Linked DNA regions of Callithrix jacchus. The protein of the gene in region 1 purifies or fractionates together with the protein of each later gene. This does not show direct contact. Links are inferred from orthologs where the notes say so. Each region holds a gene or a part of one and is shown on either strand. Other genes may lie near its edges.

Region 1 (3,815 bases):
CCATGGAACCAGTCTCACATGCTTTTGTGTCCTTCCCTAAGAAAAATGTGTTTTCATATACAGTAAGTCATTGTCTTCACTTCACCCTCCCCCAGAGTTACCAATCCCCCTGCCGTACATTTCTGTTAAATCCACAACACTGCTGATATATTCCAGGTGCATTTAAAAAATGTGTGCATATTACTTCATGCATAATAAAATAAAATGTGTATGTATGCTAGGCCAGGGCCGTAATACAGTCTGAAACAGTGTACTTTGGAAAGAACAGACCTCAACTGCACCCCCATTTACTGGCTGGTATTTTAACGGAAATCAATATGTGAAGTTAAGCAGTGATGCTAAAAAAAAAAAAAAAAAAATTACAAAAATCACAAAGCAAAATATCTTTGAACCTCTAGCCAATACCAGTAGTCCCCGTCAATCACAAACATGCAGTGTGTAGCATGTTTTCTGACCATGGTTCGGGGCATGCTCACTAATCTTTCTCAGTTCAAACAAATACTTAATACTAACAAATTGTAGTCTCGATTCTAAAAAAGGTATAATACTTGATAGAGTGGTTCCATTTAGATTTAGTGAGTTTGACCCAGTTTCACATTATTCAATCAAGTTCCTGTATTTCAAGAGTTAAAAGTGGTCAATAAGGACAGAAACACAGTTTGCTCCAACGAGATAATTTGGATCTCCAGGAAGACACTTGTTTTGCCAGGTTTTAGGATCACCTATGAGAGAAAAGAAGATGATGTCATTTACACTTGAGTAACCTGCTGTCTGTAACGCTTTGCAATTATGGGCAAATACGGATATTTAGATATAATTGTCTTGTATTTCCTCAGAATATTGTATTTCTATCAAAACTCATTGCTTTATTTCAATGCAGACCTGCTGGCATCTAACAATTTCAAAGGTGCTTCACACTTCTTGTATTTAAAAAATATATATTTTTAAACTTTCTTTCCAACTGACACCCTCATACCATTAAGAAAGGTTTGTTTTTTTTTAACTTTCAGACCTCTCCTTTATGACATTATCAAGTGCATTAGGCTTTTCGAAACACAAATACGAGTGAGTGACAGCAATCATATGCCTAAGACAGTCCCAGTTTGCCCCTGAGCCCACATAATTATCAGTAGCATTTTTCTTTCACTTTCAAAAGTCTGGAGAATCATTATATGACCAACTATCTGAGCTGAGAATGAGGATACATTTCTCACACTCAACTACAGACCAACAAATGAAACCTAGTTCTCCAGAATCTAGTACCTGAAGCCTGTCTTCCCCCTTACAAAAAACAAACAAAAAAACAAGACTGCACCAGAGCTGCTCAGCTGATTCCAGCTGTACAACACAACTGATCCCGCAGCTTCACTCACTCACTCGCCGTGTGTTAGTCAGGTCTCAGGGTCTGAGTTTTTAGTAAGCTCTTAGTGATTTCTATGAAATGTGAAGAAGGCAGGGATGACTGTGTATCTCTGTGGTACCCAAGCAAGTGGAGAGTCCCAACTGTGGACTCTTGCTTCCCTTATAGCAGTAGCTCTCAAACAGGCACAACCCTGCCCCTAACGGGACATCTAGAGACAGTTTTGCTTGTTACCACTGACATCTAGGGATAGAGGCCGGGGAAGCTGCTAAATATCCCACAGTGGACAGGAGAGCCCCTACAACAATCATGTGGCCAAACTGTCAACGGTGCCAGCTAAGAACCCTGCCTACAGTATGCTGGACGCCCTAAGCAATATCTGGAGTCAAAAGCCTTTCATTTTTCCAGAAAATGGGCTACTTGTAAATATGAGGAAATACATATTTACAAGTAATTTTTCTCTGTTAACATTAATATATGCTCTTGCTATAATCTTTATACCACAAACTTTTATTTCATACTGTACCAAACTAAAACTAAATAATGCTCATCTGATTTATCAAAGATTTAGAAGCAGTACTTTAAATCAGGCTCACTTAAAGTGATCTATACCCAAAATAAAATTCCAATTGTTAACTAACTTAAATCACTCAAGGAAGTGAGAAATGTGAAAATGTAATGGAAGCTTTGAAATTATGATCTTAGAAGTAAAAAGTCATTTACAACAAGTGTATAAAAGAAGTTATTTAGAGTATTACACTGAAAAACCATGGCCAAGTATGATCACAATGGAAGATCTTTTAAGTTTATCTGGTAGACATGCTTTGTAGATTAAGAAATTAAACAGGCCAGGCACAGTGGCTCATGGCTGTAATCCCAGCACCCTGGGAGGCTGGGGTGGGCGGATCACTTGAAGTCAGGAGTTCAAGACCAGCCTGGCCAACATGGTGAAACCCTATCTCTACAAAAATTAACCAGGTGTGGTGGCAGGCATCTGTAATCCCAGCTACTCAGGAGGCTGATGCAGGAGAATCACTTGAGCCCGTTAGGCAAAGGTATGGCAGTGAGCCAAGATCGTACCATTGCATTCCAACCTGGGTGAAAGAGTGAGACTCCATCTCAAAAAATACAAACAACAACAAAAAAAAAACAAAAATAGAAAAGTTATATAAAGGAATGAAATCATTTTAAGAAGAAGATAAAAATGCCCACATGTGCAGGACAGTAACAATTCTCCCAGTGAATCTTGAAAAATTTGACAGAATAAATCTTTTTGCTGAACACCGAGGGACAGTCAATATTTGGCCAAATTCTTGATTTTTAAAAGCAGAAACTCTTCTACATTTCCGTATTTATTTACAATATATGTACCACAAATAAACGTGAAAACACTGGTGATGCCTACGAGGCCACAAGAATCGAGGTAGAGATTTGCTGTACAGCACGGGTAGCATCAGCAGCCCAGGGATTAATCAACGACAGTCCCCAAAGCCCCCAAAGGACAGAGTGAAGACAGCATACCCGACGAGGAGTCGGATGATTTTAGAGCAAAAGACCAACCGTCAGGAGTCATGGACGCACAGTGTGGTAAGCGCAGCTCCACCGGCTTCAGGAACTTGAGGCCATGGGGCCCACACATCACCAAGGGACTCAGCAGGGTTTCACCTGGAGTTGGCAAAGGGGATGGGCAGAGAGAGGTTGGATGTGGTCTTTCTTCTAGACCCACAGTTTTCTTCACCCTGCTTCTAATGAGATGCTTAAGCCTAATGGAGTTAGTTCTCTACAGTCGCACTGACCACAAAAAACTTAACAGCAGCCACTTAACAGAATTTAAAATTTCCCAGCAGCCACATTAGAAAGAAACAGATGACATCAAACATTAAAATATTTTAATATTTTATTTAATTCAATATAACCAAAACACTGTTATTTCAACATGTAACCAACATATGAAATCTTTGGAACTTGGTGTGTATTTCACCTTTTCAGCATCTTGAATCCAAAACTGTCACACTTCAGATACTAGCTACCCACATGCAGGTAGTGGCTACTGCATTCAATCATATAGGTCTATAGTATAAAACATATTCAAATGTATTTTTTACAAATGTGACCTATTTTCCATTTTTAAAATGTTTTGTTTGCTACAGAGGTGGTTAAAGGGATTCATGCAGGGCCGACTGTCAATCCTACTGATTTTTAAAACAGGATATCCCCAAAATCAGAGTACAGAATCAGATGTCAGCATTCTGGCAAAATGTAAGAAAGCAAACTAAAGTTAATTTATTTAGGAAAGTAAAAGCACTGCTAAAAGATGCGAAAGGAAATAACGACACAGTTCATTATAATATCCTCATAGATCCAGGAGGATTATGAAAATAAGTTTCCTTAAGAAACTCAGAAACATACTGTAATCTCCTCTAAGACTCACTCATACACTCTGTGGATAATTTAC
Region 2 (3,915 bases), on another chromosome or scaffold:
TGGTCTGTTTACTCTCTTATTTCTATAAATAATTTGATGAAAAAGGCCCATTAACATTCCAAACAAGTAAGCTTCAAGATGCAACTGAAGAAAACTTCCCTCTGGGAGGTTCCTGGGAAGGTGAAAGATATTACATCAGTTCATTTATGTGGTTAAAAGTAATCTATTATTTTGAAAAGGCAGTAATTCCAACATTACCTTTAGAAGAAAACAAGAATTTTACCTTGACATCAAGCAAAATGTGGGAAATCTGATATCAGGCGATACGTATTAGTCAATGATAGAAAAATCCCCCAAATCTGGCTGTGGAATATGAAGGACCGCTGCTTCTGATATTCCTTCCCTGATTAGCTGAAGCAGTTTGCAAGCAGGCCCACCTGCAACGTTTCCCCCACAGCGTTTGTCCACTTTTAAAACGGAGTTCCATTAAGACCTGTCTTTTACAGGTGTTGGGATGATTAAATGACAAAATACAGAATGCTTTTAGCACAGTGTCTCACCTGCAGGAGGCACTACCCATTACTTCCCGAAATGACCTGGAAGCTGCCGAAAGGTGGAGAACCTGTCTTACCAACCTCTCTATCCTCCTCTCCATCACAACAAAGGAGCTCTAATAACTAAATAAATTGCAAAACGTAGGGGGAAAAGAAAAGTTCCTTTGAGGAAATATCTGTGCCTTCCACCGCCCCTTAAGATGTCTATTTTAAAGCACCATTAAGGAAATATTCATAAAGGCCGGGTGTGGTGGCTCGCACCTGTCATCCCAGCACTTTGGGAGGCCAAAACGGGGAATCACCTGAGGTAGACAATTCGAGACCAGCCTGACCAACACGGAGAAACCCGTCTCTATTAAAAATACAAAACTTAGCCGTGCGTTGCAGCAGGTGTCTGTAGTTCCAGCTACTCCGTAGTCTGGACAGAAGAACCTCTTGAACCCGGGGAGGCGCCGGTTGCAGTGAGCCAAGATTGCACCACTGCACTCCAGCCTGGGCGACAGAGCGAGACTTCGTCACACACACACACACACAAAACCAACTCACATGTACAGTGCAACAGAACTATTGTTACTATTGTTACACTTGGGAATGCCTGGTTTTCTATCACAGCAGGAATCACCCTAAGTGCCTTCATGGGAAGCGTTTCTCTTTTCCAGGGATCCCAATAATACACCTGTTGCCTCGGGAGCACACACTAATCTGCTTGGAAAGCCGCCTCCTCCTCGCCCGGGGTAATTTCCCAAGCGGGCAGTGTGGCCAGCGAGCCCCGGGTCCCGCCTGAGGATGCAGCGGTTTTTCCTTGGGCGGGTGGCTTCACGAGGAGCTCCAGGGGCTCGGCGCCGCTCCCAACCCCTAGGCGCAGAGGCCATCTTGGCCGTCGACCCCTGCTTCCCGCAGGCTTCCTCCGACGCAGGAAACATGGCTGGCGCGCGGGTCCGGTCCTGCCCCGGAGGTCCCCAAACTCCGTGGCCCAGCCGGGCGCGGGTCCCGGCGTCCGTGCGTCCCGCGGCGCACCTGGGCAGCGCGCGCCTGCGTTCGCCCGGCAGGCACCGCCCGGAGGCAGTTCCGCCCCCCTGACTGCAGCCTTTTGGTCACGGATGAGAATCCGAAGCGTGAACAGCTTCCCTAGAAGTCCAGCCTCACTCGAAATTAACTCCTCGTCCCCCAGCTTAAATCGACGCCGGTTCACAAAACTCCCAACAAGCGGATTCGAAGTAGCCAGTGTGGCCCACACCGTGACTCCCACAATATTTCACAGATTGAATCCAGCACCCCTCTCCCCGGAATTCCCAAAGGGGTGGAGCGGTGTGGGGGCAGAAGGGATGAAATTCCCCCCTAGGATGTAAGTCGCCCGGGCCAGCGAACAGCCCCCACGCAGTAGCCTCCGGCTTGGGAGCCCCTCTGCATGAGGGCCGCACCGCAAAACGGCAGCCCCTGAGCTGATGCAGGAATGTCGCGTCCCAGAAAAGTGAAAAGTTGCCCGCGCTGCCGGGGCACTGCCAGCTTTAAGCGTTTCCGAGTAATAAAGTTTGATCGACGGCTTCAAGCCGCCCCTCGCCCGGGGAGGCGGCCTCCCAAGTTGGCCGGCGCTGCTCTCTCCGCAGATCCGCGCCTCTCCGGTTACCACAAGTACCAGCCCGGGATCGAAACTGCCACCGAAACCAGCGCTGGGCGTTCTCCCCCGCCCGTCCCCTAACAGAGGCGCCGCGGTCCCCCTACGGGGACCCTCGGGCTCCCGTGCGCCCCCTGCGCTGCGCTCAACACTCACCCACTCGCCGCAGCTGGGCCCGACCCACCGAGGGCCGCCGGAGCCAGGGAGCGCGCTCACCTGGCGGCCACACCTGACGCCGCGCCGACCGCCAGCGCGCGGCCGGGGACAGGGCTGGGGACGTCTCAGCCCTCCTCCCGCCCCTCCTCCCAATCCTCTCCCTCCTCCCCACACCCGGCCCTGCCCCCGGGCATGCGCACCAACGTGAAGGGGTGCGGGAGGCCCGCGGGCTCGCGCCTGCGAGTCCCACCTGCTACGTCCGGGACGGGCTCCTCTGCGCTCTGGCCCTAGCTCCTGGTTCCTGGCGTCTCCGCCGGAGGAAGCGGGGAGGGAGAGGTGGGCGCGGGAGTGAAGGTGTGGTGTGTCGGCCTCCTCCCTCAGTGACCCATTCACCTGAAACTCGGATGGGAGGGGGCGGGAGGACGCGGCCCTGCTCCCCACACCCGGCCAGCTTGCTGTTAAAGGAACCGCGCGGCGTTCCGGCCCGAGGGGCGGGGCGCGGAGGAGAGGCGCGCTCTCCCACGGGCAGCACGGGTGGGGGTCCTGGACCACCTCGGGGCGCGCTCTTGGTGCTCCTCCTGCCTCTGTTGGAACCTCGAGCTGCCTGACGAGGAGAAGCAGAACAAGGGCCGGAGGGGACTTGTTAGCTCCGGAAAGAGGGCCCAGATACTCAGCACTTTGCTAGGAAAGGCACGTCCTCCTGGGACGCTTTTCTGCTTCCAAAATTTGATTAAACTGTTGCTGGAAAAAGGCATCCATATATGTTGCTCCAACGAAAGACTCCGGGGAAGATTTCAAAAATCGTGTGTAAATACTGGCGCTGTTTCTGAATCTCTAGATTCAGAATAAGACAATTACTTAGGGGGGGTTAAAATGAATGTTAACTACTGTAGCTATTAGTGTCAGTCAGTTGCCGTCCAGCAGGCTAAAGTGCGTAATACAGTTTACACATCACCACCTCAGGGTCCTCTCCTGCCCACCTGCTCCCAAATACAAATGGTGTGATCGAGAGTCTGCTCTTGGGGACGGGGAGATTTAAACTATTCTGGCTTTTTGCCCTAAGAAAAAGCACCTTCTACATTACCAAACTGTAGTGCTTTAAGAACACTACTTAAAAAGCAAAATAAACTTGGTTTACTTTTTTTTTTTTTTTTTTAAAGAAAACGAAAAAGCACCTTAGTTCTGGTTGCTGTGTTCTATTTCTTGATCTGGATTCTGGTTCCACAGGAAATTTCATATTCTGCACTTAACACTGTGTATACTTTTATGTACGTTTGTTGTTTTTCAACATATTTTTTAATTGCACCCTAGGATGTGGCAATTATAGTTCTTGGCATTTAACTATCTGCATTGAAAACGAACTTTTAGGTTTCTTAAATCCTGGTTGTCTTTGTGTTCCAGACTGGAATGTCAGCATTGCTAATAAATTTCTATCCAATCCCATCCACTTCTCTACCTTTAATTAAATGGTTAGAGATGTGACTCTCCCATACATTAGATCTTAAGGCACAATTCATACTGAAGGAAGTAAAAGCACTATATAAATATGAGGTATTTCAGATGATGACAGCTTTAATGAGTAATTAATTTAATTGGTATTTTTTATGGAAGTCATTGCTACAAATGCTTTAATATGACTATGTAGTTTTT

Evidence for each region.
Region 2: the proteins of TJP1 (region 1) and OCLN purify together in Homo sapiens (affinity purification with western blotting; 4 studies listed by BioGRID and IntAct, with this or other methods). This does not show direct contact. The link is inferred for Callithrix jacchus from reciprocal best matches to the Homo sapiens genes TJP1 and OCLN.

The regions. Positions count from the first base shown.
Region 1 is NC_133507.1:7,931,045-7,934,859, forward strand, and holds part of TJP1 (tight junction protein 1), read right to left. Parts: intron 3,026-3,815; coding exon 2,882-3,025; intron 723-2,881; coding exon 628-722; 3' UTR 1-627. UniProt on the Homo sapiens protein: TJP1, TJP2, and TJP3 are closely related scaffolding proteins that link tight junction (TJ) transmembrane proteins such as claudins, junctional adhesion molecules, and occludin to the actin cytoskeleton.
Region 2 is NC_133503.1:140,011,503-140,015,417, forward strand, and holds the start of OCLN (occludin), read right to left. Parts: upstream 2,726-3,915; 5' UTR 2,659-2,725; intron 2,590-2,658; exon of another isoform or gene 2,466-2,589; intron 2,393-2,465; exon of another isoform or gene 2,266-2,392; intron 1-2,265. UniProt on the Homo sapiens protein: May play a role in the formation and regulation of the tight junction (TJ) paracellular permeability barrier.